Cricetulus griseus: one gene and its partners. The protein of the gene in region 4 purifies or fractionates together with the protein of the main gene of each other region. This does not show direct contact. Links are inferred from orthologs where the notes say so. Each region holds a gene or a part of one and is shown on either strand. Other genes may lie near its edges.

Region 1 (3,856 bases), on a different chromosome or scaffold from region 4:
GTTGTTATAGCAGATGGCAATCCAGTCAGGCTGAGTTGAGGCCCACTGCACATTGTTGATCTCTCCTTCAGCTGTGTAGGCCAGGATAGGGTCCTCGATGGCCCGAGGCATCTGTTGGATGTCCCAGATGAGAGCCTGATGGTCATCCGCTGGGGAAAAAACAAGCAAGAATGTCATAGCTCAGACAATGGAGTAACAACCTTTGTTTTTTTTTTTTTTTTTTTTGGTTTTTAGAGACAGAGTTTCTCTGTGTAGCTTTGGAGCCTATCCTGGCACTCGCACTGTAGACCAGGCTGGCCTCAAATTCACAAAGATCCGCCTGCCTCTGCCTCCCGAGTGCTGGGATTAAAGGTGTGCACCACCAATGCCCAGCTTAAAGATTTTAATTATAGGATCTACAGTGTTCTGCCTGCATGCACCCCTGCAGGCCAGAAGAGGGCACCAGATCTCATTATAGATGGTTGTGAGCCACCATGTGGTTGCTGGGAATTGAACTCAGGTTCTCTGGAGGATCAGCCAGTGCTCTTAACCTCTGAGCCATCTCTCCAGCCCACAATGTGGTAACAATCTTGCAACTGGAGGGTCAATCATAATTTGTAAAACATTTGCTCACCAAAACTTTGTGAGGGAGTTTTATTTTAGAGATGAGGAAACCAAGATTTAGCAATGTTACACTTGCCCCATCATGCCATGTAGCCAGTGAGTGGCAGGGTCAGGACTCATATCCAGGTCCTTAAGCTCCACCCACCCACTGCTCCAGTATTAGAGAATTAGATCAGAACATTGGAGTCGAGAATCAGGAGAGGACACAGGATGCAATGATCCTACAATATGATATCACTGTCAGCCACTAAAAACACTTACGTGAATGAAGACGCTTCTCTGATGACTGCTTCCCTTTTATGTATACTTACACTTCAACAAGCTGTACAGATGACTGACACAAATTGCTATACAGACATGCACCATTAAAAGAAATTCCACCTAGGCCTGTAGTCCCAGCAACAGGGGACTGAGGATATAGCTCAGGGCCTATCATGTTTAATATCCTTGGTTGAATCCTTAACACCATCAAAAATAAACAGCAACAACAACAACAACAAATCGAACCACTGCCAATTAATGTGTTTTCTAGCTATGGTGGCACCCTCTTTGAGAAAAATACTAAAATGAGAACTGTAGGTAAGGCTATGTGAAGGTACAAGACCCAAGACCCAAGGGAGATGATTCCTGGTAGTGCCAAAGATCCTGTTACAGCCAAGAGGGATGCTTCTTCTTGTAAGAACCCAGACTCCTGGGGAACAGCACATACTCCCCTATAGGAATATATGCACGGGTCTGTATCTGATACAATGTCATTAGTCAATAAAAGATGATCTGAGACCAACTAAATACACAAGATCATCTGGAATGTGGACTACTCCACTTTCACAAAAGTCTCCTTGGAAACAGCAAGGATTTGACTCATAGGGAGCCAAGAATGGATCTTCACTCTCTGATCCTCCCTCCCATCGTGGTTACCTGCAGTGCAGATGTGGCAGGATGAATGTGGGGCCCAAGCGATGCCATTGACACATGCTCGGTGGTTGTTTAGCCTGGCGACAGGTGTGCAGGGAACTCGAACATCCAGGATCACCACCTGCAGAAATGTAAGAAAAAGGCCCAATAATTGCAGAGTGTGGCAGGAAAAACAAACAAACAACACTATCTCACAAACAAAGTTTTAAGCATAATCTTTTTGTTTGTGGACTTGAAGAATACGAAAGAAAGGGTTTCCTAGGATGGAGAAAGAAAGAAAACAATGAACAAACACATGTAGTGTAGTCTCTGTGTTGAGACCCTGGGCCTTTAGACTAATAAGAAGGGGAAGCAGGAATAGGCACTGTGAGTTTGGATGATACACACACACCTTTGTTAAGTGCCTGTAAGAAGACACGATGGTGGCACACACCTTTAATCCCAGCACTGGAGAGGCAGAGACAGGCAGAACTCACAGAACTCTGTGAGTTCGAGGCCAGCCTGGTCTACAAAGTGAGTTCCAGGACAGCCAGGACTGTTACACAGAGAAACCCTGTCTTGAAAAACAAACAAACAAACAAATGGTGACTCTGTACCTGCCCTGAGTGCCCACTGTATTCATGGTGACTCTGTGTACCTACACTGAGTCCCTGCTGTAGCCACCATCGCTGTTCTACTTGTCTTAGCTTTACTTTATCAGAAATTATTTTATTTTTTAAGAAAATGCTTTTCAATGTAGCCCTAGAAATCTATGTAAAACAGGCTCGCCTTGAACTCACAGATATCCTTCTGTCTCTGTCTCCCAAGTGCTGGGATTAAAGGTGTGCCACCACCATGCCCATTGAAAGTTTACTGGTGTGTGTGTATGCAAGGGTGTGATTTTTTTGTACTGGGGATCGACCTCAGAGCCTTGAGCATACTAGACAAGTACTCTCCTGCTAAGCTACATCCCCACTGTATCAGAAATCCTTAACACAAAAGCAGTGCAACTGCAGTGAGTTTGTGGCTAGCCTAGGATACACAGTAAGCTCCAAGCTAGCCTGAGCTACAGAAACTCTGTTTCACCAAAGTGGGGAGAAGCTGAGCACAGTCCTTTTTGTTGACCAGGGTCCTCAGTCTAGGCCCTTTTGGCATTTTTAGTAGACTGACACTGTTGGGAACTGTCTGTGCATTGCAGGGTCATTAGCAGCCTCCCTGATCATTGCCCACTTGATGCCAAAAATACTCTTTGCTTCCTCTTCTGACAACCAAAAATGTTTCCAGGTATTTCCAAAGATCAACTGAGCACAAAACCGCCACCATCCGAGAGCTACTCTTGTAAATACACAAGGCAGATTGGACAAGGGACAGGCAGACGTATGGGGTGATAGGAGATGCTATTGTTTATATGTTTCTCTTATTGGTTGATGAATAAAACATTGATTGGCCAGGCAGGAAAATAGGTGGGGCTAGGAGACAAATTCTGGAAAGTGTAGGAGGCCAGAGTCAAGATGCTGCCAGAGGAGTGACACCATGCTGGTCATTACTGGGTAAGCCACAGCCTTGTGGCAAGACACGGATTGATAGAAATGGGTTAATAATTAAGACAGAGCTATCTGATAAGAAGCCCTAGTCTGGGCTGGAGAGATGGCTCAGGGGTTAAGAGCACTCTGTTCTTCCAGAGGTCCAGAGTTCAATTCCCAGCAACCACATGGTGGCTCACAACCATCCATTATGAGATCTGGTGCCTTCTTCTGGCATGCACTGTATACATGATAAATAAATAAATCTTAAAAAAAAAAAAAAAGAAGCCCTGGTCATCGGCCAACAGTTTCATAATTAATATAAGTCTTGTGTGTTCATTTGGGGCTCAAGGGCCACGGGACCAGCCAGGGCAGAAAGCTCACATGACAACGGGGTTTACCTCCATTCCATCCATGGCCATCGTGGCAAGGTAGTTAGGGTCCTGCTTGTTCCAGCAGAGGCGAAGCAGTGGGTGATGCTGAGGGTCTTCGTAAATGATGGTGCTGTGCTCCAGATGACGGAGGTCAAACATCCTCACAGAGCCATCCGCACCCACAGAGGCGAACATGTCCCTGCCACCTCCAGCTCGGCTGAACGCAATATCATAGACCTATTGGTAAGAAATGTCCAGTTCACATCAGCCACCTTTTCCCACAGGATGGAAACCTGTTACTTCCAGTTCACATGAACCCCAACTCATGACAGAACAGAATAGCAGGAAAAGTTAGTGGCTTCTCAGAGAATCAAGATCATTTTTTTTTTTTTTTTTTTTTTGGTTTTTTGAGACAGGGTTTCTCTGTGGCTTTGGAGGCTGTCTTGGAACTAGCTCTTGTAG
Region 2 (4,412 bases), on a different chromosome or scaffold from region 4:
TCAGTACTGCTGTAGTAGCTCCCAGTTACCTTTCCTTTCGAGCCTGATCCCACAGCCACTACTGTTGCTTGCAATACTTTTCCTTGAGACTTTTCTGGAAGCATAATGCCACCTTTGGTCACAGTTTCGGCGGCACTCCTTTCAACCAATACTCTGTCAAAGAGCGGTAGAAACTTTTTGAAAGCTTGTCCAGCCTGCGGAGAGAAACGTGTTCAAACGGACTGTCATTGCGTTCGCAGCGTCAGACCACGAACAGTTAATACCGCTGCATGCCTTAACCTATAACGGGTCAAACGTCCCAAACTGACAAGAAAAATCTAGGTGTGCCTTTAGAAAATATTCTTGGATGTTTCATACCCTGTATATTTTAGTGCGTGTGGGTGGGTGGGGGGGTGTCTTCATTGCCCATCAGCACCCACACTACCTTTAACCACAACCTTGGTCTCCTCCAAGGTCAAACGTTTTCCTTCTTTAGATTTCTTTTTTTAATTCTAGTAACGCCGGGGAGAGAGTATCAATTTTTGAGCTGGGTCATATATTCTCCAACACAGTATACGTCCATGAAAGCCCTGGCAGGGCAGGTGGGCTACTGAGTGTGCATCCGGGTTCCCGCCCCCTACCCCGGGCTCCTGCAGCACACGTGCGTGCAAAGAGGCCGTGGTGGAGAACCGCATCGGACAGGCCTCGCTCCTGCGGAACCCGGGCGGGCGCCGAACACTGCGTGGCCCCCTGCCCTGCCGGTGCTAAACCGGCACACAGGGGGGGACACCGTGGGTCGCGGGGGACCCCGACCCGCAGGCAGGCCTGCCAGCCCAGGGACACTCACCATGACTCGCGCCGCCGCCGCTCGGACTCTGCACTCGGGCCGCCGCTGCAAGGAGAGTCCTGAGGTCCGGCTCGGGACACGTGAAAAAGCCACGCAGCGCGCAGGCGCAGGCGCACGCGGCCCCCCCCCGCGAGCGTGAGAGAGGGCGGCCACGGCAGCGCGCGCGCCGATTGGTGGCGAGGACTCCGCGCAGGCCGCCGAAGGGGGCAGCCGGAGGCGGAAGAAAAGGGGCGCGCTTTCTAGGCTTTTCCAGGCGGCCCGCTGAGGTGAAAGAACGAGCCCTTCGTCCTCCTCCCGGAAATGACGCCACCTGACCCTTGACCCACGGGAGGCGCAGCGCCCTTCCGGAAGGTTCTAGAACGGAGCGAGGCCCAGGAACCAGCGTAGGGCGGCGGGAGAGGGTTGAGCCCGCGGGGCTGAGACCGCTCGGGTACGGGGGGGGCGGGGCCACCCGCGCCGCATGCTGATTGCAGGGCCCGGGCGTGGGAGGGAGCGGGGCGCGCGCGCACGCGGGGCCGCGGGGCGGGGCCGCGGAGGGAGGGGACTCGGACTCATTGCGGTGCGCGCTCTGCGCTCGGTCCCTCACTCGCCGCCGACGGCCTGCTTCGCCTCGTGCCCTCCCGCCGCCGCCCCGCAGGTACACGGCCTCGACGTGCATGGCGCCCGGGAGCTCGCCGGCCTGCTTCCGGCTGGGCCCGAGCATGGCGGGCTAGGGGACAAGGCTGGCAGCGACGCCGCAGGCTCTGCCGGCCTGTCCAGGCCCGACGGGGCCACGCGGGTTTCATCACGTGCGGCGGGGACCACGCGACCCAGGCCAAGCGCGGGAGCGAGGACGGGCTAGGGTGGGAGCCACTTGGGCCCTCTGGTGCCACCTGCGCCTGGCGCACTGCAGGACTCTTGTCGGAGGGTGGTCGCGGTCCCTTCTCGTCCCCTCTGGCTGCGGGGATGCGGCGCCTCTACTTTGACCTTGCCTGGGGCTCCTTGTCGGGCAGACACGTGGGGCCGCGCGAATGGGCTGAGCTGCGGTCCTGGGTTTTGCGGCCTTGCTAGTTGCTGTGCTACCGTAGCTCCGGGTGGACACCTGGCGTCACTTTTCCTGAGCGGGGTTTTGCACCGTCATGAGTACTTGTATAGTTCCCTGTGCTCTTGCATTTGGAACCTGCCTCGCTTACGCCAGCTTGATTTTTTTGCCCCCCCCACACACACTTTTGGAGTGGATCTGTTCCTAAGGCCGCTTTGCCAGTGAAAGATTAACTCGCGGTGGCAGGAGTGGGTGGCCATGGGGAATGGTTTTGTGTGCTAGGGCTGCAGGTCAAGCGAGCATGGGGGCGGCCTCCTTAATCCGTTGCTAGCAATTGATGTCCTGAAGCTGCAGCGCCGTGTGTGGCCCAGGCGTGGCGGTTAGCAGAGGACTGCCAAGCTCCAGTCTAGCTAGCCTCCATGTTCTGAAGCACAGGTGGACAAGTTTGTCCGTAACTAGTAGTGATCCTTTGCTTTTTTTTTTCCCCCCCTCTCCCAGAAATGCTTCGACTACCCACAGTCCTTCGCCAGATGAGACCAGTGTCCCGGGCGCTGGCTCCTCATCTCACTCGGGCCTATGCCAAAGATGTAAAATTTGGTGCAGATGCTCGAGCCTTAATGCTTCAAGGTGTAGACCTTTTAGCGGATGCTGTAGCTGTTACAATGGGGCCAAAGGTATCAGTATACTTTAAATCGTGTTAATAAAAGAATAGTATTCTGTAGCTGCAAATTAGACAGTATTTGTTAACAAGTTTTATGAAAATCTAATTTGAGTGTAGTACATGTTAAGTGATTTGGGGGTGTTATTTAGGAGTTTCGTTAGTTGGTGGCCTTAATACTGCTGCAGCCGATTTGGGGGACTTTTGTGCAACATGATGTAATAGAGTAGTAATAGCTCAAGGAGGATTTTCAAACTTTAGGCGTAATTAATCTTGTGTGAATGCTTGCATTAAATTTTGGATCCTTTCCCAGGAGTTAGAGGGTATAGAGGGGAAAGGACAGCTCAAGACTAGTAACACCTCAGAGTGTAATTGTAGATGTGAGGTTTTACTTAACTGTACTGAAGTATTACAGTATGCATACAGTAGATGCGATAGCATAGAGTTTAGATTTATTTATATTTTTATGTGCATTGGTGTACTGTCTGCGTGTATACCCATGTGAAGATCCCAGAACTGGAGTTACAATTGTGAGTTGCTATGTGGGTGCTGGGAATTGAACCTGGGTCCTAACCACTGTGGCATCTGTCCAGCCTAAGTTAATATTTGTGACTTCGTTTGCATTGTTCTGTAACTCACCATCACACATCTCCAGAACCGTTTTCACTTGCACATGGAAAAGGCTATCTGGTCTCCCATTTATCCCTCCATTGTGCATACCTCATGATTTCTCTGCCATTTCCACATTCCAAAAGTTTGGTTTGGGGTTTTTAAGAGTCTCGATAGCTTAGTCAGACCTCTAACTCGCTTTGTACCAAGACTATCCTTGAACTGATTGTCCCAGGTATGTAACAGTTTAGTATACTATTCATCTGGTGTTTATTGAGACAGGGTCTTTAGCCATAGCTGACCTGGAACTCCTGTGGACCAAGCAAGCTTGAACCTTGAATCATTGCTGAGATCCAAGGCTGGAGTCACTCATCTGTGTGGTTGAATAAGGAGCCATAGTACTTTGAGGACATAATTGGATGTGGGGCACAGTTGCTTTAAATTGACGTTAAAGCCATCTAAAGAGCTTCGTAAAGTGCTGTTTATATAGGTCAAGACAGAATAGCTTGGTTCAAATCCAAGTTGCCAATACTGTTGGTGTCAGTTTTGAAGTTTTGAATTGCATGAGCAGGAAACAGTAAGTTAAGAACAAACTTACTGGCTGATATTTAGTGAATGGATGTTCAAGTAAATTGTACTTAAAAGCAACAGTTAATAAAAAAGTAATAACAGTTCATAACCAAAACTCGTGTACAAGTGATGGAAGGGTGTTCCAGGATTGGTGATTGTCACCTGTGCTATCTTGTTTAATAGGTGGCATCTCTTTGGGTGGGTGGGGGATGTTATCTACTGTTGTACCTCAGAGTTCCTTTTGTCTATAGACCTAAGAATGTTGATTAACTTGACCTTTGAGATTCACGTTTCAGGACTGTTAAAAGTGACAACTTTGAAGTTTATGGTTGAGGGTTGTTATTCTGTCATTGTAGGGAAGAACAGTGATTATTGAACAGAGTTGGGGAAGTCCCAAAGTAACAAAAGATGGGGTCACTGTTGCAAAGGCAATTGATCTAAAGGATAAATACAAAAATATCGGAGCTAAACTTGTTCAAGATGTTGCCAATAACACAAATGAAGAGGCTGGGGATGGCACTACCACTGCTACTGTTCTGGCACGTTCTATTGCCAAGGAAGGCTTTGAGAAGATCAGCAAAGGGGCTAATCCAGTAGAAATCCGGAGAGGTAAGAGCATGTCATTGACCCTACAGAAATGAGAGTATTGTCTCATCTTTTTCCTTTCTTAATACATTTGTTGGTGTGTGTCCATAGACAAGATGGGAGTTGTCCTCCCTACCCTTAAG
Region 3 (4,582 bases), on a different chromosome or scaffold from region 4:
AACCCACTTAAAAATTAGGAGTGCTGCCCTTCTCGTATTCCCATCGAAACACACAAAGTCGACAACACAAAGCACACATTGTAAGCATAACGAGCCAAATGGAAAAGTTAATGTGCTATAATGATATTCGTTTTGCAACATCAAAAGCAGCAGAAATACTGCATATAATTTGATTAAATCATAAATACTGAGATTGAATATGCACATAGAAATTACATTTAGGCTCCATGAGCTGAAAGCTCTCTAAAAGCAGATAAAGTGTGAACCAGCAGGAGCAGCTCCTGGTCCATCAGTACTCCCACTCGTCGGACTTCAGATCAAGGTAGCTGAGGATGTTCTGGGCCAGCTTCACAGCCTGCTTCCTAGCAGACTTACACTTCTCTTCTCCCTGGGGGTCAACAGCGTCCAGGGTCAGCAACTGTTTGGTCAGCAGCTCCTCCAGACGGATATAGTTCTTATCAGTTCGGTTTCCACCAAACGAGAGGACTTCACCCTGAATCTCTGACAGGTTTCCAAGGACATCCCACACAGCCTTGTGTGGGGGGTTCTCCTCACTAGGGAAGAGCTTCCTCTTCTCCAGGGCCTCCTTGAGGTCCAGGTACGTGATCAGGGTCTGCACTTCAATCACGGCTCTTCTCCTGGCTTCCCGGATGCAGGGGTTCTTCTCAACACTGACTTCATCTAGCTGTCCGATCAAGCCCTGAAGTTCTGTCTTGGAGCTCAGGTACAGTTCGGGAGGGCTCTGAGCCTGGAGAAGTTCATTTTTTATCTCTCGCATCCTCTTGAGCACCTTTTCTATTTTCAGAATGGAATGGTTCTGCCCCAGGTCAAATGCATGTGTACTGTCAGCTTCCTCTTCTAAATCTAGGTATTTCAGTAGTTTGTTGATGTCCTCCACCACCTCCCTCCGGTAATTTCTGATCTCCGTACGCCCACACACGTCTAAAGCATCTAGATCAGCCATCAACCCTGACAGCACGCACGATAGGTGCCTGCAAGTCTCAGTACTGTCCACGCCCATCAGAAGTGCGATCAAAGTGCCCCTGGCCTTGTTCACCTCACACATCACCAAATTGATCTTGGCAACTGAAGGGTGCACATCCTCAGAGAGCGGCAGGGAAGGCTGCTTCTTCATGCAGTCTTCAATGATCTCTTGCACGGCACAGATCTTGGTTAGGGTGTGGTACCTTGCTTTCCGCAAAGAGATCTTCCCTCCTGTTTTAACATGCGTCAGCCTCAGAATGATGTCCTGGATGCCTTCCTCAAATTCGTCAGTCACACAGTTGCCTCCACTGTAAAAGGGCACGATCTTTTCTTTCACAAGGGCCTGTGCCTCCTTAAAGATGTTCTGGATTTCAATCCGGTGTGGGTGGTTTGCATTCTGCTCCAACTCTTTGAGAAGGCCTTCTGTCTCCTGCGCTGCCCTCTTCCTAGCTTGCTGAATGTCTCCTTTTCCTTCTGTGTCTACAGAGTCTATTTCAAAAAGTTGTTTCGTCAGAATCCTCTCCAGTCTCTTGTAATTCTTGTCATCCGCCAGGCCGCTGAAGCCAACCACTTGAGGCTCTATACTCTTGACTTCTCTTTGGATCTCCTGAAGCCTACTAATAGAAGGGTGTTGGTTTCCCATATCCATACTTCTGTGTTCAGTTTCACAAGCACTGAAAGACGGCAAGAGTAACTTATTACAGTCTCTGCAGGACAGTTAGATCAACCCACTTTAAACTCACTTTTAAAAGGCATACTTTTTAAAGGATTAATTGGGGCTATGGAGACAGCTGTCAGTCAAGTGCTCCAGTTGGAGCTCCAGAACACATGCAAAGACAGCCAGGGCAAGGGCCCTAGAGAGGGCTCAGTGGTTAAGAGCACTGGATGCTCTCCAGAGGACCTGGGTTCAATTCCCAGCACCCACATGGCCTCTCCTGGTCACCTGTAACTCCAGTTCCAGGTGATCTGATCCCCTCTTTTGGCCTCTACAGGCGCCAGGCACACATGTGATGCACACACATACATGCAGGCAAAACACCGGTGCACATAAAACGTAAAAGCCAGGCAAGATGGTGCTCACTTACACCACCGGTGCCAGGAGTCAGAGACGCGTGGACTCTGTGGTTCACTGGCCAGCTAGCCTACTCCGATTGGGGAGCTTCGGGCCATGAGAAGCCCCGCCTCAAAAAAAACAAAGTAGAAGGACACCACAGAAATGGTGTGTCTGGGGGGAGGGGGGCAGGGTTGAACTCTGGCACCCGGGCAAGCACCAAAACACACAGACGGAAGGTTTTGTCGTTATTTATAGATTTGGAAGACATACTCGAGGAAAGAGGAGATGTGACATGTTAACTCCCTCTCGGGAAAGCACTTCACAAAACAATGTGCCAACACGCCCGGCGCCAGGGAGGCAGAGGGAAGAGAATTAGGAGTTCAAGACCCGCCCGGGCCACTCAGTGAGATCCTGACTCAAAAGCAAAACGAAAACAGGGAGAAGTCTGTCCAGTCTGGGGTGGATGTCTGGGCCTGGGAATCAAAGTGAGCCGCGCGCACACACACACGCACACACGCACACACGCACACACACGCACACACTTTCACGGAGGCCAAACCATCCGCGTCAACCCCGTTTCCTCTGCTCCCACCGCCCTAGAGGACGACTGGGAGCGGCAGGCGGGGCGGGAGGCTCCCCTGTGGAAGTCATCGGGCGCTCTCCGGGGCTCCTCACCGGGCCACCGTTCTGCCCCAGGCCCAACCGGACTTGTCCTTTCCACGAAGTCCTCGCCCCCCTCGACTCCCATTGCTGCCCCGACCCGGGCCCCCGCCAGAAAGCGTGACAAGTGCGGTTATTAGCTGGGTCACTCGCCTCCCCGTAAGCATGCTTAGAGCTTTTCCCACGCTCGCTCGCTCGCTCGTTCCGTCTCTCAGGTTTCTGTCAAACCGCTCACTTCCGGCGGGCCGGCCACAGAACTCAGTCCAAGCCCGGAGAGGTGCGGGCGGCGGCGGTCTTGGCGGCCGCGGAGGGCGGCGAGGCGGGAGACCGGCCCGTCACGGGGAGCGGCGCCGGAGCGGGGCCCCCAGCGGCATCCCCCTCGCCCTTCCCGGCTAGGTCTGACCCGGGCGGCCGGTGAAGGGGCCGGCGGAGGCGGCGGCAGCTACTGGCCGCGGCGGCCGCTCCGGGGCGTCTCGGCCGGGCCCGACGCGCCGCCGCCTGACCTCACAATGGGCGCGCGGGAGCGGCGGCGGCGGGGAGAACGAGGCCCGCGCCCCCCCCGCGCTGCGCTGCGCTCACCTGGGCCGCTCGCGCCATCGCGCGCGCTCCTCCGCCTGCACTTCCGCAGCGTTGCCGAGGCGGCGCCCGCCGCGGGGCCGGCCGCCCAGCTCCGAGCCCGGGGAAAAACGCGGCCGGGCCCCGCCCCGGGCGCGCCCGCCGCCGCTCTCCGGGAAAGCGCACGGTCGGCCTCGCCCGCGCCGCCCGCCGCCGCCCGCGCGACGCTGCCGTAAAGCGGACCGCGGCGCTGTCGCGATCGCGCCGCGCGCCGGCCATGGCGGCTCTGCGGCCCGGAAGCGGAGCGCTCGTCCGGCCGCTCGTCCGCTCCTCGTCCAGCGGCGGCGGCGGCGGCCGGCTGGCCCGGGAACGCGGCACGGAGCGCAGGGATGCGGCGTCCAGCCCGGTGAGCGGACGCCCGGGGAGGGAGCGGGGCGTCCCCGGAGCCGGCGTGAAGCGCTGTCGGCGCGCTGCGCCCTCACTTCCGCTGCGCGAAGGCGCCCGGGCTCGGTCTGGAGGCGGCGGCGGCTCGGGCCGCGCGTTGTTTGTAAACAGTCGCGCAGCGTCAGAGGCCGCAGGGCGCGTCCGCAGCGAGCCGGGAAAGCGGCCGGGCGCTCGGCTTTTGTTTAACCCGCCGCCCTTCTTCCCGAGCCGGTGCTTCGTTTAAGGGAGGCCCGGGCCAGTGAGAGTGATGGCTGAGGCTTCAGGTGGAGAGCACTAGACAGCGCCCATGGCTGCCCGCACTGCATTTGCCAGCAGGCCGGCGACACAGGCTGGCGAGGTTTGCTTAAGCAATAATTAAAGGGCCGCAGCGGGGAAAAAAAAGGTGTGTGGGGGAGATAATTAAGAATTGCAAAATGTGCCTGCTGTGTGAATTTCCATTTCTGTTATGCTGCGTCTCGGAAACACTTTTATTAGAACTACAGCTTTTGAAGTCTGTCTAGTCTCCAGTTAAGGTTTGTTGCCCGGGCTCCTGGCCTCTGGCTCGGTTCCCTGGCACGAGAAACAGACAAGCCTTCACTTCTGTCTCTAGAAAAATAGAATTTTAGTCCTTGGGCAGAAGGAAAAACGAAACAGGTGTCTGAACATGTTTGGGGAGGGGAAATGTAACTCAGCCAAGCATTTACTTTGGGGTGTGTGTGTGTGTGTGTGTGTGTGTGTGTGTGTGTGTGTGTGTGTGAGAGAGAGAGAGAGAGAGAGAGAGAGAGAGAGAGAGAGAGAGAGAGAGAGAGAGAGAGAGAGTCTTGCTGCGGGTGTGGTGGCTCAACGCCTTTAACTCACAAGGCAGCCTGCCTGGTCTGGGTAGCAAGCTCAGCTCCATAGTAACTT
Region 4 (4,287 bases):
CTACAAGAGCTAGTTCCAGGACAGTCTCCAAAGCCACAGAGAAATCCTGACTCAGAAAAAAAAAAAAAAAATTAATAAGTAAAACTTTCAGGAAAAAACAGAGAAGCCTCGAGTTTCAATCCCTGTAACCTCACTCTCACCAAGTTCTTTATCTGCCTCAGCTCAACATAATCCTCTGCCCATTATTTTTAATTTAATGTGCATTGGTGTTTTGCCTTGGGTGTTGGATCCCCTGGAACTGAAATTACAGACAGTTGTGAGCTGCCATGCCGGTGCTGGGAATTGAACCCGGGTCATCTAGAACAGCAGTCAGTGTTGTTAACCACTGAGCCATCTCTCCAGCCCCCCATTATTTCTTACAGAAACTTATAAAATGCTTTCAACCTTTTTCTTCATGATATACACAGCACTTTCCATTTCTTATCTGGCATTCATTAAGAGTCACTAAGATACCACTTAAAACTACAGATTCCATGAAGGATATAAAGTCTAGTAGACAATGTTACTTCTGCCTCTACATTCTTTGCTTTGGTGTACATTTTTTCCATCATAAAGTTTATTTCAGCCGGGCATTGTTGGTGCACACCTTTAATCCCAGCACTCAGGAGGCAGAGGCAGTTGGATCTCTCTGAGTTCAAGGCCACCCTGAGTTCCAGGATAGGCTCCAAAACAATACAGAGAAACACTGTCTCAAAAAACCAAAAAAAAAAAAAAAAAGAAAAGAAAAGAAAAAGAAAAAAAGTTTTATCTCAACGAATATACAATCTTAGCTTAATTACTCAATCTATGGTCTACACACAAGATGGTCTAGTGGTTCTTCACTAATCCCTTATAAAAAGTACCAAGGTCCTGGTAACTAAGAAATTGCTAAAGATCAAAGGATTTGATTTTCATGGACCATCAAAATGGCTCAGAAGATAAAAGGGGATTTCTGTCAAGCCAGACAACCTGAATTTACTTGGGAATCATGTGGTGAAAGGAGAGAACCAATTCCTGAAAACTGTCCTCCAACATCTACATGCATGGCATGGCATGCCCCTGTCTGTAGACGGACAGACAGACACATAGTAAAATTAAATAAATAACTTCCATTTAAATCTTGCTGATCTCAGGGCTAGGGATGTAGCTCCATGACAGAGCACATGCATGAGGCCTTGAGTTCAAAATTCCCAGCACTACAAAAGAAGGGACCTTACACACACACATTTAAAAAAATTGGAGAAACAATACAATTCTATTATCATCTTTCTAAAATTCATTAAAAAGGCATCCTAAAATTGTGTAGAAACAGACTTTCACAATCTTTACTCCCATAAAGTCATTCTCCTATAATGAATTCTATATACTGTGGAAACATCCAGTCTAGAATAACCTACAAGCCTTTCTTTCTTTTTTTTTTTTCAAGGAAGAATGACAGATTAGGATCATGATACTGATCCAATGAAAATGAAATTAACAAAAACACTTAGACCTTAATGTTTCCAAGTTGTGAAAGAAAAAAGAAACATTATGAAATTCACAAAAGATTCATCTTCAATTTAATATCTGTTTGAGTAATTTCTACACAAAGACTTTTGAACTCTTGAATATGAAATGACTAAACCACTAACCAAATAAAAAAGCAAAACCAAAAACTGTTTGAAAAGAGACTCCTTGGATTCCCTTTGGATACCTCCTAGAAAAGACCTTGACAAGACAAGAACCTGAATTAAAAGTCTTAAGCGTCTTCCATGAGACACTAAGACAGCACCATAGCAGAAAAATTCCAAAGAAGGCTGAAGATCAGTATCAATCAGAAGGGTAATGAAAGCGAACAAAATTATCCTTGCTACTTTTGCTAAAATGATAAACTTTGAAAAACCAAATTCAGGAGGAAAAAAAAAATCACTTGTTCCCTTAACTTCTGAAGCCTCCAGTGACACAATATATGTTCCTAAGAAGGAGGAGTTCCAAGCGATCAAATAAGAAATTACTGTATGTAAAAAAGTGACCAGTTAAAATGGGAGAAAGAGTAGAGTGAACCGTTAAAGACACAAAAAGAAACTAACAGTGCATTTAATGATCTGTCGGGATCGTAGGGAAAACTCACGTCCTACACCTCAGCCTCAGTTTCCTACCCCAAAAAGGCTGGAACGTGACATTTTGCTCCAACGAGCGGGAGGGCCTTGTTTCACAAGCCTCAAAGGGGGCCTCGGAGGCTGGACTCAGTGGGGGGTCCCCAGAGCAACTGAGGCATGACATCCGGAGCCCTGACTTGGGAAGAGGAGAGGGGGAGCAGGGTCCAAGACAGCTAAGCTCCTACAATCTAGCGGTGACGACACTCGTCCAGGACCTAACAATCCCTCTCTGCAGAACCCGACCGGCATCCTCAGCATCTCTTTCTCCTTCCGGCTTCTTACTGAGTTCCGGGCCGCCCTCCGGCCGCGCCCCCGAGCGCAACCCCCTTCACTCCCAGCCGCCCGGCGGCCCGCGCGCTCGCCCACCGGCCAGCGCCAAGGTCTCCTCCTGCCCGCAGCCAAAGGATGCCGGGCCGGGCCGGGCCTCCCAGGCTCCTCCCGGGCCTACCTGTGAGACGGGTGAAGGCTCGGCCCGAAGGCCAGCGGGCGCAACGAGCCACGGACGAAGGCGGGAAGAGGCCGAAGGAAGCGAGGGATCCGCTCGACCGACCAGCGGGAGAAAGCGGCAAGAGCCCGAGACCTCCGGGATAACTCTGTTCAGGACCTGGCACCGCCGCCGCCGCCGCCGCTCTGTAGACATCAACCAAGAAGACGCCGCAAAAGATCACAGAACACACGAACGCCCAGACATCAAAGGAAGAGCGCCCCAGCAATCGTTCAAGGAACTGCAGCCGAGTGCCGAATCATTGCTCAGCTCCTGCTGCAGGTCCGGCTGCCGTCCTAGGCATTAATAAACAAATACAGATCATAAACTATAGCGTAGAGTGTTTCTACCATTTACTGTTGGTGGCCGAGGGTTTAAGTAACTTAGAGAATTAAAGGTATGAGACCGGTGCACGCCTGTAATACCAGCATTTTAGGAACACGAGGATTCGAAGTTCAAAGTCATCCTGAGAGTGAGCGCGAGGCCAACCTCGGCTATATGAGACCTTGTCTTAAGTGAAAAAAGAATGTCTTTTGTGAGAGCATTGATTGAAGATCAAATCATAGCAGAATGAAACTCATCTTAATAGTTCAAGTGCCTTACACTTAAAGACTTCTCACGCTACTTATCCCAGTTGAACAAATGACTTGATTCTTGATTTCCTTGTAGAATAGTAAGGTGTATGAAATAAGAGAGGCGAAATGAAAAACCAAACAGTGAACAATCTCACTGAACACTCCAGTTTAGCCTTACATATGTAGAAATTTGTCCCCAGGCATAATATACTGTTGCCATCTTGAAATCAAAGCAGCTCTGGTTATTTGCACAATACCCTCATTAAGATTGGGCCCACTGGTGAATAATATCCCCTGGTGGAAAGGGGGGACTCAGGAGTCAGTGTACAGTGCCCTTCCTCTACTCAAGGACATATAAATAGTTCATTGCTGAAGGAGGGCAGAGACTCGAGTGGTGTAGCTGCCATAAGTTGCCCATGGTCCTGTGAGTAATCTCTCACTCAGTCTCCTGTAAGCAACCCTCAATTAAATTCATTGGCTCAAGCTAGACTAGGGTAGAATCATTTATTTAGTCTGCCATTGATGCCTTATTCAGGATGAATAGGTGTTTTGTTTACATCTCCCCAGGAAGTCAGGCAACACCTGTTACCCGAACAGCTGAGAAAGAGAATCACAGATGAGTTTCAGAGGAGTAAATTGTACAGTCGCTGCTGTGGGTGATCAGACCTGCAACTGAAGCTAAGCTAAGCTGAGTGTAAGGCTGGCCTGGGGGCAGTTCTGATATGGCCATCCTTCCTCCTGGGGTATGAAATGAAATGTCTTCTTGATGTGGTGCTATTTCTTTGTCCATTCTGTGGGTGATATGACATGTAACTGAGCTGCTGCTCCCTGTGAAGGTGGAGTATCTGTGGAAGAATCCCTTGGTGACTGTCTTTATGTCAGTGGTTCTCAACCTTACTAATGCTGCAACCCTTTAATAAAGATCCCGTTAATACAGATCTTCATGTTGTGGTAACTCCCACCATAAGATTATTATTGTGCCTACTTTATAACTAGTTTTGATGCTTTTATGAATCATAATGTAATTATCTGTGTTTTCCAATGGTCTTACTTGATACCTGTGAAAGGGTCATTCAACCCCCAAAAGGGTTGTGACCCGCAAGTTAGGAAC
Region 5 (4,621 bases), on a different chromosome or scaffold from region 4:
GGAGGGCTGTTGTTCCCACCGCCTGCCTATCACTCAAAAAATCACTGTAGTCTAGTGAGCGACTTTGAAAGATTGTAATATATTCTGTGGAAAACATTCGGCAGAGCAAAAGCCCTCCCTGGGCCCTCCCGCAGTATGCAACCAGTGAACGGTCCGGAAATCTGCAGCTCTGGAAAAGTCCCTGGCTCAGTCCTTGGAGAATGCAGGTGGCTATATGGGAAGAACCTGCTCCAGGACGGTTCTGGATGTCAGGGGAATCCTTTCGGGGAAGATGACTTCAAATTCGATAACAAGGTCCCCACGTTTCTCAGGTGTCTTGGGGAGAGGGAGGCCTTCTCCAGGAACTTTCCGCCGCATGCCGGGCCTGATGACATCTTTGAATACAACAGGGATGGTCCTGCCGTCCAGAGTGGGGACATTTACAGTGCAACCACAGAGAGCCTAGGAAAGCAAAAGGACTATGTTAGATGGAAGCTGGCTTAGGAAGCTTGACTCCTCCAACATCCAGAGAGAAGGTTCAGGTCCACCAGACCCATGCAGCTGAGCTCCAGCCAGTCTCCCCCACTGCTCCTCAGAGCAGTCATCTCCTTTCATGATTCTCCCACCTAGTGCCTTACCTCCCGAAGGCTAATCCTGGCTGGATAGATGACATCAGAACCATCTCTCTTGAAGATATTGTGTGGCTTGTCCTTTAAAACAAAGACGATGTCAGCTGGAATGTTGTTGGAAGTCTGGTCCCCTTCCTTGGGAAAGGTGATTTTGGTCCCTTCTTTCCAGCCCCTCTTCACTTCAATGGTCAGGATCTTATCTTCATTTCGAATGCTCTTTCCATCGGGGTTCAGCCGCTTGTGGGAGATTTTCATTTTCTTGGTACAGCCGCTGTAGATCTCTTCAAGGGAGACCCGGAGATCGTGGGTGACTGGGGGATCTTGCTTCTTTCGGGCAGGCTCTTGGGCAGGGCGGGCACGTCCAAAGTTCACATTGGTGAAGCCACCCATACCCATTGGAAAGCCCGAGAATGGGTCATCGATGTCCATGCCTTCTTCCCCGTTGCGCTGCCCAAAAAAGGTATCAAAGGGGTTTCTGCCACCAAAGAACTCAGCAAACATGGCATGAGGGTCTCCATGGAATGTGTAGCTGAAGGAGGTACCATTAGCACCGCCACTGCTACCGCCACTGGGGCCACCACCCTTTAGGCCTGGAAAACAAAATCAGAAATCAGAGTTACTGTAGGAGAGTCAAGGCCCTTGGTTTCCATTTCTAGCACTGCAATAAATTAACACATTTACAAAACAAAATCAAGCCTGGCGTTGGGTGGTGTATGCCTTTAATCCCAGCACTCGGGAGGCAGAGGCAGGTGGATTTCTGTGAGTTCGAGGTCAGCCTGGTCTCCAGATCGAGTGCCAGGATAGGCTCCAAAGCTACAGAGAAACCCTGTCTCGGGGGAAAAAAACAAAACAAACAAACAAAAAAATCCCACCAACAAACCCATAAAATCCTTAAAATAGAAAGCCCAGACATGGTGTCGAATGCTTGGAAACCCAGCACTCCGAAGACAGGAGCAGGTTGATCTCTGCAAGTTCCAGACCAGCCAGGACTCCAACACGAGGCATTGGGGACGGCTCAGAAGTTAAGAGCACTTGCTCCTATGGCAGAGGAACCATGTTCGATTATCAACTCCCACACAACAGCAGACAACTAACTCCAATTCCAGGGGATTCAACATCCTCTTCTCTCGAAGCAAGTACACAGTGAACATACATACATACACGTACCCATATATATAGAAGTAAAAATAAAAGCCTGAACTACACAGTGCGATCCGGTGACTGTCATGTTATATAGCCCTTGAACTTGCTGAATAGTCCAGGTTAGCCTAGAGGCAATCCTCCTGACTCAGACATACCAGACCTGGGATTGTCACTACATCCTGCTCTTTTGGAAACAGGAGCTCATTCTGTAGCTCAGATTTGAAGCAAATTCACAACAATGCTTCAGCCTCCAAAGTGGGGTGTGTGAGCTCCCGCACCTGGCTCAACAAGTTTTGCTTTTAATAAAAAAAGCCCTGGGAACCGTAGTGGGAGGGGTTATATGTATTTTTAAGTTTGTTCTAGGTGAATCTCAAGTCTTTAACTGCCAATGGCAGCAGGAGCAGGAAACACATTACTCCCTTTCACTTCGTGACAATTCGGTAGTAAGGCCTGCAGCTGTCGGCGCCACCAGGTCTACTTGACAGCCCCATCCTCTCTGCCATGCTGTAACACCTTACAGAGAAGTTCCTACGCACTGCGGCCAGAAAGGCTCAGCTCAACTCTGGGTTAAGCGCTGAGCCTGCGGGTTAGCGGGCCCAGAGGAACAAACACTCGGGCGATTTTCAAAATCTCACACCCTAGCGATCGCGACCGCCGCCCTCCGTCTGCAGCGTTCGGGCGCTGTGCAGGCGGCCGGCCCGCCGGCCGGGAGGGGCTGCGGCAGACGTGCTAGAAGCTTCTGTGTGAGCGGCGGGCGCGCCCAAAGCTCCTCCTCCCGGCTGAGGCCGCCGATCAGAGGGCGGAGGCGGCACCGCCGCCGGATCCCCGGGCCGTCGATGCGGGGCCGAGGCCTCAGAGAGGCCCCGAGTGCCTCGGTTTCCCTGCCTGTCAAACGGCGGGTCACCCCCGGCCGCGCGCACGCGTACCTTCTTCTCCGTAGCGGTCGAAAATCTCGCGCTTGCGCGGGTCGCTGAGCACGTCGTAGGCCTCGGCGATCTCCTTGAACTTCTCCTCGGCGCCGGGCTCCTTGTTCTTGTCGGGGTGGTAGCGCAGCGCCTGGCGGCGGTAGGCTCGCTTGATCTCGTCGTCGGACGCGCCGCGGGCCAAGCCCAGCGTCTGGTAATAGTCCTTGCCCATGGCCACCGCCGCCCAGCTGTCGCCGCCTCCGGCTCCGCAGCTGCCCTGTCCCGGACTCTATATACCCGTCCGGCGGAAGCTTCCAGATCCCGCCAGCCCTCCAGAACCTTCCGCCCCTCCCGGCGCGCCGCGCCACTCGGGCCAATCGCTGCCGGCCGCTCCGTGACGCAGAACATCCGGGGTGGGACCCGGCAGCCAACGGCCTTCCGCGCGAGGCCACGCCCCTTCCCGCTCTACCCTGGTCAACGCCTCCCTGGGGCGCGCGCGCCCCTGCCTGAGGTCCCGCCTCCGCAGTGGAGACAGCCAATCGCGGCCCGCTCTCACTGCCGACTGGTGACGACGTGGGGAGGGGGCGGGGCTACAGAGGCGGGTCTCTTCCGAAGCCGCACCCTGTCCCTAGGTGAAGACCGGCTGGGCGGTCCTGCCCGGTGACTTGTAGCTGCCCGACCCGTCCCTCCAAGTTCCCTCTGCTGTCACCCAGGGATAAAAGTCCGCACCCCACCCTCTCCTGCCGGTTGCTCCGTACAGGCCGTTACTGTAAAGCGAGGTGAGGCTGGTCTGGCGAGGGATCGCCCCAGTCCGGGTACTCAGGCTTCCTTACTTCCTGCTGAGGAATTAGCCGGGTTCTTGGCGTTCCGGGTAGATGTCACTCACTTTGCTGTCTGAGTTCACCACCAGGGCAGACATTGGATTTTGCTTCGTGGCTGTGCATCTTTTTCAGGACCCACTAGGTGCTTCGTAAATATTTCCGAATGCTTTGACGTGGGCGCTTCTTGCTGTGGGGGAACAGAGCACCTCTGTTAATTGACTCTTTGGGTTTTTAAGTCTTGGATGATGGCGGTCAAGGACACAGCTGAGAGCAAAGGGGAGAGAGCTTCTGAAACTGCCAGGCTTAGAGAAGCGGGGGTAGTCGGTTTTGGTTCCTGCAGGGAGAGAAACTACCTGGAAGTCAGAGCACGAGCCTTGACTCTGTAGCCAGAGAGAGTAGGCTTCGTTCCAGATCCTAGTACTTCCTGGCTGTGTGACCTTGAATTGGTAAAGTAGCCGTTCTGGCCTCAGTCGTGCTCACTTATGAAATCGGAATGGCCGCTGTATATAGGAAGTTGACGTTACTCAGCATCTGTGAAAGTGCTCAAGAAAAACCAGGGACAAAGGGATGACTAATTGTCTTGTTTAGTGGATGACGCTGACACCTCCTCTCTGGCAGCCCTGCAGCGTCTGAGCCTCTGCTGAACCTTGCGTTGGACAGCCCGAGACCTGTGAGAAAGATGACCTTAGCCTTCTCTTGGTGGTCTATCCGGATGTGTGTGTTCTGGTTTTCCTGACCACACTGACCCCAAGAGAACTGAAAAGGGCTCTGTCTAAACACAGTTGAGCCCCTGCCCCCAAAATGGAATTGGGACTAGGGGATCCTTTAGCTCAACAGAGGATGTCCTGAACCAGTCACTTGGAAATATTCAATGTTACCTAGAGAAATAACAAGAGAGCTGGCACAGTGGAACATTCCTGTAATCCCAGCACCAGGAAGCTGCGACAGGAGGGGTACTGTGTAAGGCCCGCATGGTTTACAGAGTGAGAGCTTGCCTCAAAATAGGTGAATAGAAACAGAAATTCCATAAAGAACAGAAGAGCTGCCCCTACCGGAAAGCGCAGAGCATGAGGAATTCTTCAGTGGGGACATTCAGGTGTGCCTCTAGAGGGGCTTGGCTGGGTCTCACTAAGGTTTCTAGTCC
Region 6 (3,856 bases), on a different chromosome or scaffold from region 4:
AAAAAATAATATCAAGGACTTAAAAAGTAATGATAAAATCAAAACTATATATAACCTTTGATCCTGATTTTGTGTCATGCAAAATCCAAAGCAGGACACAAACTAGCTTTCTATCTCGTATCTTCTCCATTATCCACCTTCCTTTTTCTCCTCCCCCCCCCCCGGTTTTTTTTACATTTAAATTAGAAACAAGATTGTTTTACATGTCAATCCCGGGTCCCTCTCCCTCCCCTCCTCCCCTGCCCCCCACTAACACCCTACCTATCCCATCCCCTTTCTGCTCCCCAGGGAGGGTGAGGCCTTCTATGGCTGCAGTTCTTTTTCTTGCTCATCACTCTACGTCACAGCAAACTGGGAAGTTTCTTTTGTTTGTCTTAATGTTGGGAACTGAACTTACGGCCTTTCCTATACAAGTGCTCTACTACTGAGCTATTCTCCCCAAGCCTGGGAATGTTGCTATTAATGAGGATATTTGCTTACTGTCTTTTGTTTTTTTGGTTGTCTTTTGCTATAAAATCTCAACTAAAGTGCATAGCATCAGCACAATGTCTCATATTGAATGTACTCAAAATGTTTTTTGTTATGGCTTACCTGTCACACAGACAGTGAAGTCATCCCCGCACGACACTTGGTGGATGGCTTTTCCCTGCAGCTTCTCCACATGCTTTGGCTGTCGATAGGAAGCTTTGTCTCCATGTCCTAGCTGACCATGAAGTTTAGTGCCCCCTTGCATGTTCTGTTAAAAAAGAGGTCTTGTGAAGTTTTAACTTTTCACACTAAAAGCTAATCTTTAATATCACTTCTTCTGAAGAAAAACAATAAGAAAAAAATACTGGAAATTTAAAGACAAAAGTGGGGAAGGGTATTAAGCTTTCAAAAGGCTTTTTTTTTTTTTCTTTTTTTGAGATAGGGACTCACTATATAGCACTGGCTATCCTCAAACTAACTCTCTGTATAGAACAGGCTGGGCAATCTGCCTGCCTCTGCCTCTTGAATGCTGGGATTAAAGGTGCTCACTGATATGCCCTGCCAGGTTAAAGCATTTATTGGTTAATATAAATCCCGACTTACAGGTAAATAAGATTTTAAAACACATCCATATTCATACCCATCAGGCACAGGACAAATTCCAAATTGCCTTTTTTGTAGTGTAAGGTGAATTATATGTTTAACTATAATGGGAGATGATGAAAAAGTTCAATACAGAGTATAATTGGATTGCTTTCTGTTCTAATTTGGATTCTGCTACTGTGATGACTACCATGACTCAAAGCAACTTGGAAGGAAAGAGATTACAATCTACCATTAAGGTAGTTTACAATCTACCATTTAGGAAGCCAGGACAGGAACGCAAGTCAGGAACTGAAGCAGAAGTTACCACGGTTTACTGCTTTCTCTTCATGGCTTGCTTAGTTTGCTTTCTTATAGCACCCAGAACCACCTGCCCAGGGGTGGCACCATCCACATTGAGCTGGACCCTCCCCAGTCAATCATCAATCAAGAAAATGCCCCACAGAATGTCAATTTGATGGAGACAATTCCTCAACTGAGGTTCCCTTTATCCAGGTGCTAGTTTACATCGAGCTGACAAAAACTAACCAGAGCAGTTTCTAAATGAGTATAATAACCTCTTGAAAAGACCTGCACTAGAAGTTTATAGATTTTGGGCAGCTTCCCTAAAACAGAACAGTTAAAAAGACCATAGCTATACCAAAAAGAAAACAAAAATAAGGAAAAAGAGAGAGAATTTGGTTCCATCAAGGAAGGTGCTATGTGGTAATAAGAACAGTCCTCATAGCTTTGCAACAGTTTCACAGAGATAGCAATTCTTTCCATTCACTGACCCAAATATAAACCCCGTAGCAAACAGTGGTCAGGCATTACTTATTACATTTCAGGCTGCTGCCTCAGGCTAATTCTCTAAGGGATAAGGTTTTGGGAAACAACATCCCTCTGTTACAGAGGCCAAATCTCTCATTCTTTTATGATTTCATAATTACCCACTCTCTACTTTCACACAATGGAGATAAAGCACCGGATAAGATAATACAGTCCTTATGCCTATGAAGAAAGCTGAAGCCACTGAAAAACAGACGAGCTCCCTCATGCACCTACACAAGGTACAGCAGTGAAACAGAAAGCCAGCAGCACTTGCTGTTACAGAAGCCAGGTGATAACAGAACCTCTAGGGAGAGGCCATCATGCTAGGGCAGGACAAAAGGTGTTTATTTTATTTTAGCAGTTTACAGGTCATTTGGTAAGACCCATATTAACTGAGTGGCAAGGACAGAAGCTGCACTGTAGGTGAGTGAGGAGAGTGGGAGACCTGGAAAATGCAGAAAACACATTGGTGATGCACACCCGGAACCCCAGCACTTGGGAAGCTGCAAATCCTAGATCAGCTTTGGCTACAGGGTTAAGACCCTGTCTCAAAATAAAAATGCAACAATAAACAACAACAAAACGACAGGGCTGAATTCAGAGGACAACAAAGGGAAATTCTAAGCTATTTTCATTCATAGATGGGGTCTGGGGGGTTTCCTGAAATGGCAGTGTTTCATTTGTTTACAAAGTTATTTCACAGGTACTAGCTGCTCTAACCTCATGATAACAGAACACAAGTACCTGAAATATCCGAAATCATCTAGTTGTCCATGACAGACAGCCCAGTCTTCTGAACCCAAACCCAAGGTTCTCTTACTTTTCTTTTCCTCTCTCATCCACTTCTCTAGAACCATTCATAAGAACCACGATGCCCTAGGAATGGAGCTACATGAGTGAACTACACAGCCCACAGCTGCTCTCACAGGAGCTCATGTTCCATCACTTGTCTCATTCCTGCAGCACAAGGACAGCTAACAGAAGCCTACACAGCCCGGGCCCAGAAGCATCGGGGCTTGTACTCACTCTACTTACCACCCAAGTGTATAGTTCCTTCTCCACAGTGACCACAGCAAAGTGGGTATTCCCCGCGCACACCTGTCGGGCACTACAGCCACTCTTGATGACGTCCAATTTCTGGGGTGTAGATTTTCCACCACCCCAAACATAGACTTCACTGGTTCGTGATGTTACCACAGCAATGGGTGCTTCAGTCACAGTGCTTGACCTGCCAGCAATCCCCAAACATATTTAACGTAACAATGGTTTCAAAGAAGACACAGGGCTTGACTAGCTAGCATGAAGCCCTTGGTTTGATCCCTGGTGAGGGGTTGCATGCTTCTTTCAAAAAAAAGAAAAAAGTCTATTCTCTCAGAAAAACAGCCAATTTTGGCATGAGAAAGTATATTCTTTCAACCCTTTCTCTTAACAGGCTTCATCATGGCTCAACCAGACCAGATTCAGCCAGTCCCTAACAGCTCCACTCCCCACTTTTCAAAATTCATCACGGGAATAACATCCACTTTATTGTAAGGGAAAATTTGGGCTTTCTCTTCAGAAAAGACTGTCTGGAGGCTGCAAAGATGGCTCAGCAGTTGAGAGTGTGTAGTGCTATTTCAAAGGACAGTTCCCAGCAATCATATCAGTGGTTCACAACTGCCTGAAAATCCAGCTCCAGGGGATCCAATGTCCTGTTCTGGCCTTTAAAGATGCCTACATGCTCGTGCACACACACACACACACACACACACACACACACACACACACACACACACCCCGCCCCCCACACCCACACCCACAAATAAATCTTAAAAAATAAAAAAGAAAGAAAAGTAATGCCTATATGACACTTAAGCTGATGCTGGCTCCTAAATTGACATCCCAGGTTGTGGGGATCAAATAATGCCACAGTAGGCTCAAGTAAGCCTTCCATACTGGGACCTGAGGATACATAATGTTCCCACAGAGCCTCCCG
Region 7 (4,312 bases), on a different chromosome or scaffold from region 4:
TACAGAGGGTCAGAGTCACGATGGCATCAAGGACAGGTTCTGAGCACTCATCTGGAACCCAAGGAGGAGGCAGAGACACACTGGGAATGGCTAGTCTTCTGCAACATGCCCAGAGTGACATACTTCCTCCAGCAAGACCACACATAATCGTTCCCAAACAGCCAACTGAGGACCAGATGCCAGAGAGCATAAGACACTGAATCCATGACATCTGCCTTGTTTAGTTGCTAACCTAGGACAAAGGCAGATGCTATACCACCGAGCTACGTCTACAGCCCCTTATACTTTTTGAGATTTTTAGCTCTTGGCAAAGCAACCCCGCCTGGCCTTTGAACTCACTCTGGCCCGAGAGACACAATCCTTTATCAACATCCAGATGAGCTGGCATTAGACCTGAGATGAGCGCAAGCTTCGATTTTTCAAGACATTCACAAAACGTTCAAATTTCACATTTGTGTCATGAAATGACAATGTTTAATGAAGCCAGATAACCTACTGTTCCTTATTATGTAAAATGAGTTGGGGATGGGGCGGGTGGTGATGGTGGTGGAGGACCTGGAAGCCAGCTGTGCTTAAGGGACTTGACTCTGTTAAGTCATCAAATGGCTTTGAGTTCTGATTCAAGGTTGTAAATCCAAGTTTCTCATTTTCTGTGCACCGAGAGGACAAAACACAACTCTAACCAGACATGGCTTTGTATTTCAACCCTACTCCACCTCTTAGTGACCTCTGCAGGAGCCTATTGAATATTATTCACGGAGGATTTCAATAAGTTGGGTGTGAAAGTAATAACCTTTCATTAGAAAGGCGAGACAGTATAAATGCACTTGGCTTTTCCTTATTTGGAGCACAGTGTTGCCCAGGCTCTCCCTGTCCTCTTAGGAGCCTGCCTGGTAACCCGGCAGGTCGGGCAAGTAGAGACTGCCCCTAAGGCGCACTCAATTGTCTTAACGCTACACCAGGGGATCTTTTCTCCCACGTCACGGGCCGCACGATTTTGTCCCTGCTGTGAATTGTGGGTGTTGGGACAAACATCAGAAGCCATCGGCGAGCCGGCAGCCCGGTGGGAGGCTGGCGACGGGCACCGGGACAGGGTCCCCCACCCGAGTGCTGGCGGCTGCGCCCGCGCCTGCCCTTGTTTGGCCGCGCGGCCTCGGGGGCGGTGCCGTCCGCGTCAGCGGCGCCCGCGGTGACGGCGACGTGCGGCCCGCGCCACTGCTGCCCGCGGACGCCCCGGACCCCCGGAGCTCATGGCCCAGGCGAAGATCAGCGCCAAGGCCCACGAGGGTCGCTTCTGTCGCTCCTCGTCCATGGCAGACCGCTCCAGTCGCCTGCTGGAGAGCCTGGACCAGCTGGAGCTCAGGTGAGGGCGGGCGGGCGGGTGAGCGTGCAGGCGGGGGCGCCTCGGGTGGGCTCCACTCCCCGGGCGAGCGCGCGCGGCCTGCCCAACTTCCAGAACCTTGTGTGTGGTCCCCGCTGCCTCTAACTTCCACGTTTCCAGTAATGCTCTTTGGAGGGAGGCAGCAGCTTAGTGGGGTCTCTCCCTCCCACCTTCCCATTGTAGTAAGTTTCTTTGCCCCAAACCACTTCATAGTAACACAAGAGTAAGGAAAATTCCAGACTGCACCTCCCGCGACCAGCGAGAATTAGACCCACGAGTGGCCGTTGTGGGTGGCAAAGTTGGATGCGTTCTTTCATTTTCTTAACCACGTGCAATGCCCTCCGCATTCGGTCTGTATCTGTTGTGCATTTAGAAGATACTGATGACACCTAGGAAGTGCCAGCCACAGGCCTGAAAAGGTACGAGTCACACTCTGCCTGAGATTCTATCGCAGGATCGGTGTTGTAGTAAAATTTCTAAATAGTAAATACTAGCAAATGCTGTAAATACTTTGTTGCCTACAGCAATTTGAGATCTTACCTATCTGGTTAATGTCTCCGAAGTTGTGCAAGTCTTGATTGTGTGCAGGTGTTGTTCCATGAAAATCTTATCAAGGCACCCTGGGTCTTCTGGAACTGCGAACATTTTGTTCCCTAGTTTTCTCCAGGTTCTGCATAAGCAAAAGAATATGAGCAAAATCATAAGAGTCTTGTGTGCCTAATCTCCTTCCATTCGTCCACCAAACAAACAAACGGGAGGATGTTTGCACAGAAAACTACCACAAGCAGCATTGTTACAAATGAGGCATTTGTTATTATTACTATTAGGAGCAGAGATCCAGACGGTGAGAAATTTTTTTCACAATTTCCTGAGTAGCCACAAGAGAAGCCTTAACCATACAGTCCCCAGCCCGGAGTGAGACAAAGGGACCTCAGCTTTCAAGCCCTTCTGAGGAGAGGGAATGCTTCCCTCTACAAAGTAGGCACTGAACTTGGACAGTATATTCTCAACTGCTCAGATTTTTTTCTCCTTGAAAGGGTTTAGGAAGTTGTTACTCTTCTTTAGCTGAGTCACTGTCCTGAAACCTGAATTAATGCCTCCCTAGTGCTGGGTAGGGGGGTGGAGGGGGTTCCTGAAAGCCTTGGGTTTGGTGTTGCAGTCTAATGTTTGGTTAATGTAAAAGGAATTCTGACTGTTGCACATATGTGATTAATTGATACTTTAACTATTTGCTGAGAGGGAGAGTTTAATGTGTGTTTAATGGCTCAAGGCATGGGGCTCCTTTTTAGAAGCCACTTTGACACAGGGCACTGCACTATTAAAAATTTAGACTTTTAGCTGGGCAGTGGTGGCACACACCTCTAATCCCAGCACTCGGGAGGTAGAAGCAGGTGGATATCTGTGAATTTGAGGCCAGCCTGGTCTACACAGTGAGTTCCAGGACTGGCTTCATAGTTACTGAGAAACCCTGTCTTAAAAAAAAACAAAATAAAACAAAACAAAATTTTTAAATATGGATGATAGAGGAAAGATGAAGCTTGTGTGATTTCCCGATACTAGCTTCCTTGTATACAAATATTAGCAAGGCTGTGGATTTGGTGCTGTAAAACCCTGGTTTGTAGATAGTATGCATTTTCCAGTCAGTTGTGTGGATTCTATTGACAGTGGAAGTCACTTTTTCTTCTGAAACTGAAACCACATCAAAGGCTTTATATCCTGGAGGCTGAACTGACCTCTGGGATTGCCTAAAATGCTTTAAAATGTTCAGCCCTGTTTTACAAGCTGTTAGTGGATTGTCGTTCGTTTCTATTAGTTTATAATATTAACTACACTATCTGACATTAAAAAAAATATTTTCTACTACAGCTCCTCTAAAGAGGTAACCCTGTCCTTTCTTGATTTTTGCGACCAGTTCTATGGGATTCTGCGCCCTTCGTGGCTAGATGGCTTACTTATTACTTTTTAATGTTTATCCTAGTTTATAAATAATACATGTTAGCATCTATCTGCATGCTAGGCCTCATGCCTCTGTGGGAGTTACCATTATCTGTATTCTACAGATGAGAAATTGAAGCTCAGATATAAACGACATGCCTCAAGTTGCAGCCAAGAGCTGTGGACTCCACGTTTGAACACAGGAAGAGGGGCTGCTCAGATCAAACACCATGTGTCTTAGTGTTGAATATATCATTTTTCAAACTGTCCAGTTGGCATAAGAACGTGCTTTTACTAAAAGAAAAATCAATTTAGCATTTAATTGAGTAAATATTGAGCACCCAGTACGTGCCAAGTATTGAGTAGCTTCTAGAAGCTGTGGGTGATAAAGCAGCTGGGTCTCGGGGATTGGCAGAGGAGGAATGAATGATAGGTAGGACTGGGAGGTCGGCTGTCCGTACACTTCCCAAATGGTCCCATAGGGAGTAGTTCTTTCCAGTCCACCCAGGCAGGAAATGATGTTGTCGCCAGGGCCAAGGAAATGCACTGTCCGCTGCTTTGGTTTCTTACTGCTTAAGGTTCCTGTCAGGATGTCCCAGTGTCCCAGGACTCACAAAGCAAGTCGACACCATATTTAATTGGAGTAATAGTCTGTAATTTAAAAGAACACTTTTCATATACCTTGTAATTTGAAACTTCTATAACCCTTGAGGAGGAGGAAGCTGTTATTATCTCTTTCAGCTGTGAGAGCAGTGGGTTGCAAAGGAGCTTAGTTGATAGGATGCTTGTCTAGCAGGTTCAGAACCCTACGTTTGATACCTGGCTTCAGAAAGCCAGCATGGTGGTGCATGCCTATAGTCCCAGTCCTAGAGACAAGAGGATCAGAAGTTCAAGGTCATCCTGGGCTATACAGTGAGTTCTGGGCCAGCCTGGAATACATGAGACCTGTCTGGATGGGGGGGGAGGAGAAACTGAGGGACTAGGTACCTTGTCTTA

Evidence for each region.
Region 1: the proteins of Ambra1 (region 4) and Dcaf7 purify together in Homo sapiens (affinity purification with mass spectrometry; 3 studies listed by BioGRID and IntAct, with this or other methods). This does not show direct contact. The link is inferred for Cricetulus griseus from reciprocal best matches to the Homo sapiens genes AMBRA1 and DCAF7.
Region 2: the proteins of Ambra1 (region 4) and Hspd1 purify together in Homo sapiens (affinity purification with mass spectrometry, with the first as the bait; 3 studies listed by BioGRID). This does not show direct contact. The link is inferred for Cricetulus griseus from reciprocal best matches to the Homo sapiens genes AMBRA1 and HSPD1.
Region 3: the proteins of Ambra1 (region 4) and Bag5 purify together in Homo sapiens (affinity purification with mass spectrometry, with the first as the bait; 3 studies listed by BioGRID). This does not show direct contact. The link is inferred for Cricetulus griseus from reciprocal best matches to the Homo sapiens genes AMBRA1 and BAG5.
Region 5: the proteins of Ambra1 (region 4) and Dnajb1 purify together in Homo sapiens (affinity purification with mass spectrometry, with the first as the bait; 3 studies listed by BioGRID). This does not show direct contact. The link is inferred for Cricetulus griseus from reciprocal best matches to the Homo sapiens genes AMBRA1 and DNAJB1.
Region 6: the proteins of Ambra1 (region 4) and Nek9 purify together in Homo sapiens (affinity purification with mass spectrometry; 3 studies listed by BioGRID and IntAct, with this or other methods). This does not show direct contact. The link is inferred for Cricetulus griseus from reciprocal best matches to the Homo sapiens genes AMBRA1 and NEK9.
Region 7: the proteins of Ambra1 (region 4) and Bag2 purify together in Homo sapiens (affinity purification with mass spectrometry; 3 studies listed by BioGRID, with this or other methods). This does not show direct contact. The link is inferred for Cricetulus griseus from reciprocal best matches to the Homo sapiens genes AMBRA1 and BAG2.

What each region holds. Positions count from the first base shown.
Region 1 is NC_048600.1:118,986,185-118,990,040, reverse strand, and holds part of Dcaf7 (DDB1- and CUL4-associated factor 7), read right to left. Parts: intron 3,632-3,856; coding exon 3,422-3,631; intron 1,640-3,421; coding exon 1,522-1,639; intron 150-1,521; coding exon 1-149. UniProt on the Homo sapiens protein: Involved in craniofacial development. Acts upstream of the EDN1 pathway and is required for formation of the upper jaw equivalent, the palatoquadrate. The activity required for EDN1 pathway function differs between the first and second arches.
Region 2 is NC_048595.1:409,526,412-409,530,823, reverse strand, and holds the start of Hspd1 (60 kDa heat shock protein, mitochondrial), read left to right. Parts: upstream 1-1,338; 5' UTR 1,339-1,463; exon of another isoform or gene 1,464-1,544; intron 1,545-2,345; 5' UTR 2,346-2,347; coding exon 2,348-2,521; intron 2,522-4,040; coding exon 4,041-4,293; intron 4,294-4,412. Other genes in the region: MOB-like protein phocein, read right to left, coding at 30-194, 827-829. UniProt on the Homo sapiens protein: Chaperonin implicated in mitochondrial protein import and macromolecular assembly. Together with Hsp10, facilitates the correct folding of imported proteins.
Region 3 is NC_048598.1:182,322,494-182,327,075, reverse strand, and holds the start of Bag5 (BAG family molecular chaperone regulator 5), read right to left. Parts: upstream 3,039-4,582; 5' UTR 2,866-3,038; coding exon 2,852-2,865; intron 1,659-2,851; coding exon 290-1,658; 3' UTR 1-289. Other genes in the region: cytochrome c oxidase assembly factor 8, read left to right, coding at 3,531-3,659. UniProt on the Homo sapiens protein: Co-chaperone for HSP/HSP70 proteins. It functions as a nucleotide-exchange factor promoting the release of ADP from HSP70, thereby activating HSP70-mediated protein refolding.
Region 4 is NC_048599.1:85,029,895-85,034,181, forward strand, and holds the start of Ambra1 (activating molecule in BECN1-regulated autophagy protein 1), read right to left. Parts: upstream 2,808-4,287; 5' UTR 2,566-2,807; intron 1-2,565. UniProt on the Homo sapiens protein: Substrate-recognition component of a DCX (DDB1-CUL4-X-box) E3 ubiquitin-protein ligase complex involved in cell cycle control and autophagy.
Region 5 is NC_048596.1:160,786,125-160,790,745, forward strand, and holds the start of Dnajb1 (dnaJ homolog subfamily B member 1), read right to left. Parts: upstream 2,992-4,621; 5' UTR 2,889-2,991; coding exon 2,678-2,888; intron 1,199-2,677; coding exon 618-1,198; intron 442-617; coding exon 211-441; 3' UTR 1-210. UniProt on the Homo sapiens protein: Interacts with HSP70 and can stimulate its ATPase activity. Stimulates the association between HSC70 and HIP. Negatively regulates heat shock-induced HSF1 transcriptional activity during the attenuation and recovery phase period of the heat shock response.
Region 6 is NC_048598.1:118,461,038-118,464,893, reverse strand, and holds part of Nek9 (serine/threonine-protein kinase Nek9), read right to left. Parts: intron 3,110-3,856; coding exon 2,917-3,109; intron 737-2,916; coding exon 592-736; intron 1-591.
Region 7 is NW_023276807.1:14,227,383-14,231,694, forward strand, and holds the start of Bag2 (BAG family molecular chaperone regulator 2), read left to right. Parts: upstream 1-1,179; 5' UTR 1,180-1,250; coding exon 1,251-1,363; intron 1,364-4,312. UniProt on the Homo sapiens protein: Co-chaperone for HSP70 and HSC70 chaperone proteins. Acts as a nucleotide-exchange factor (NEF) promoting the release of ADP from the HSP70 and HSC70 proteins thereby triggering client/substrate protein release.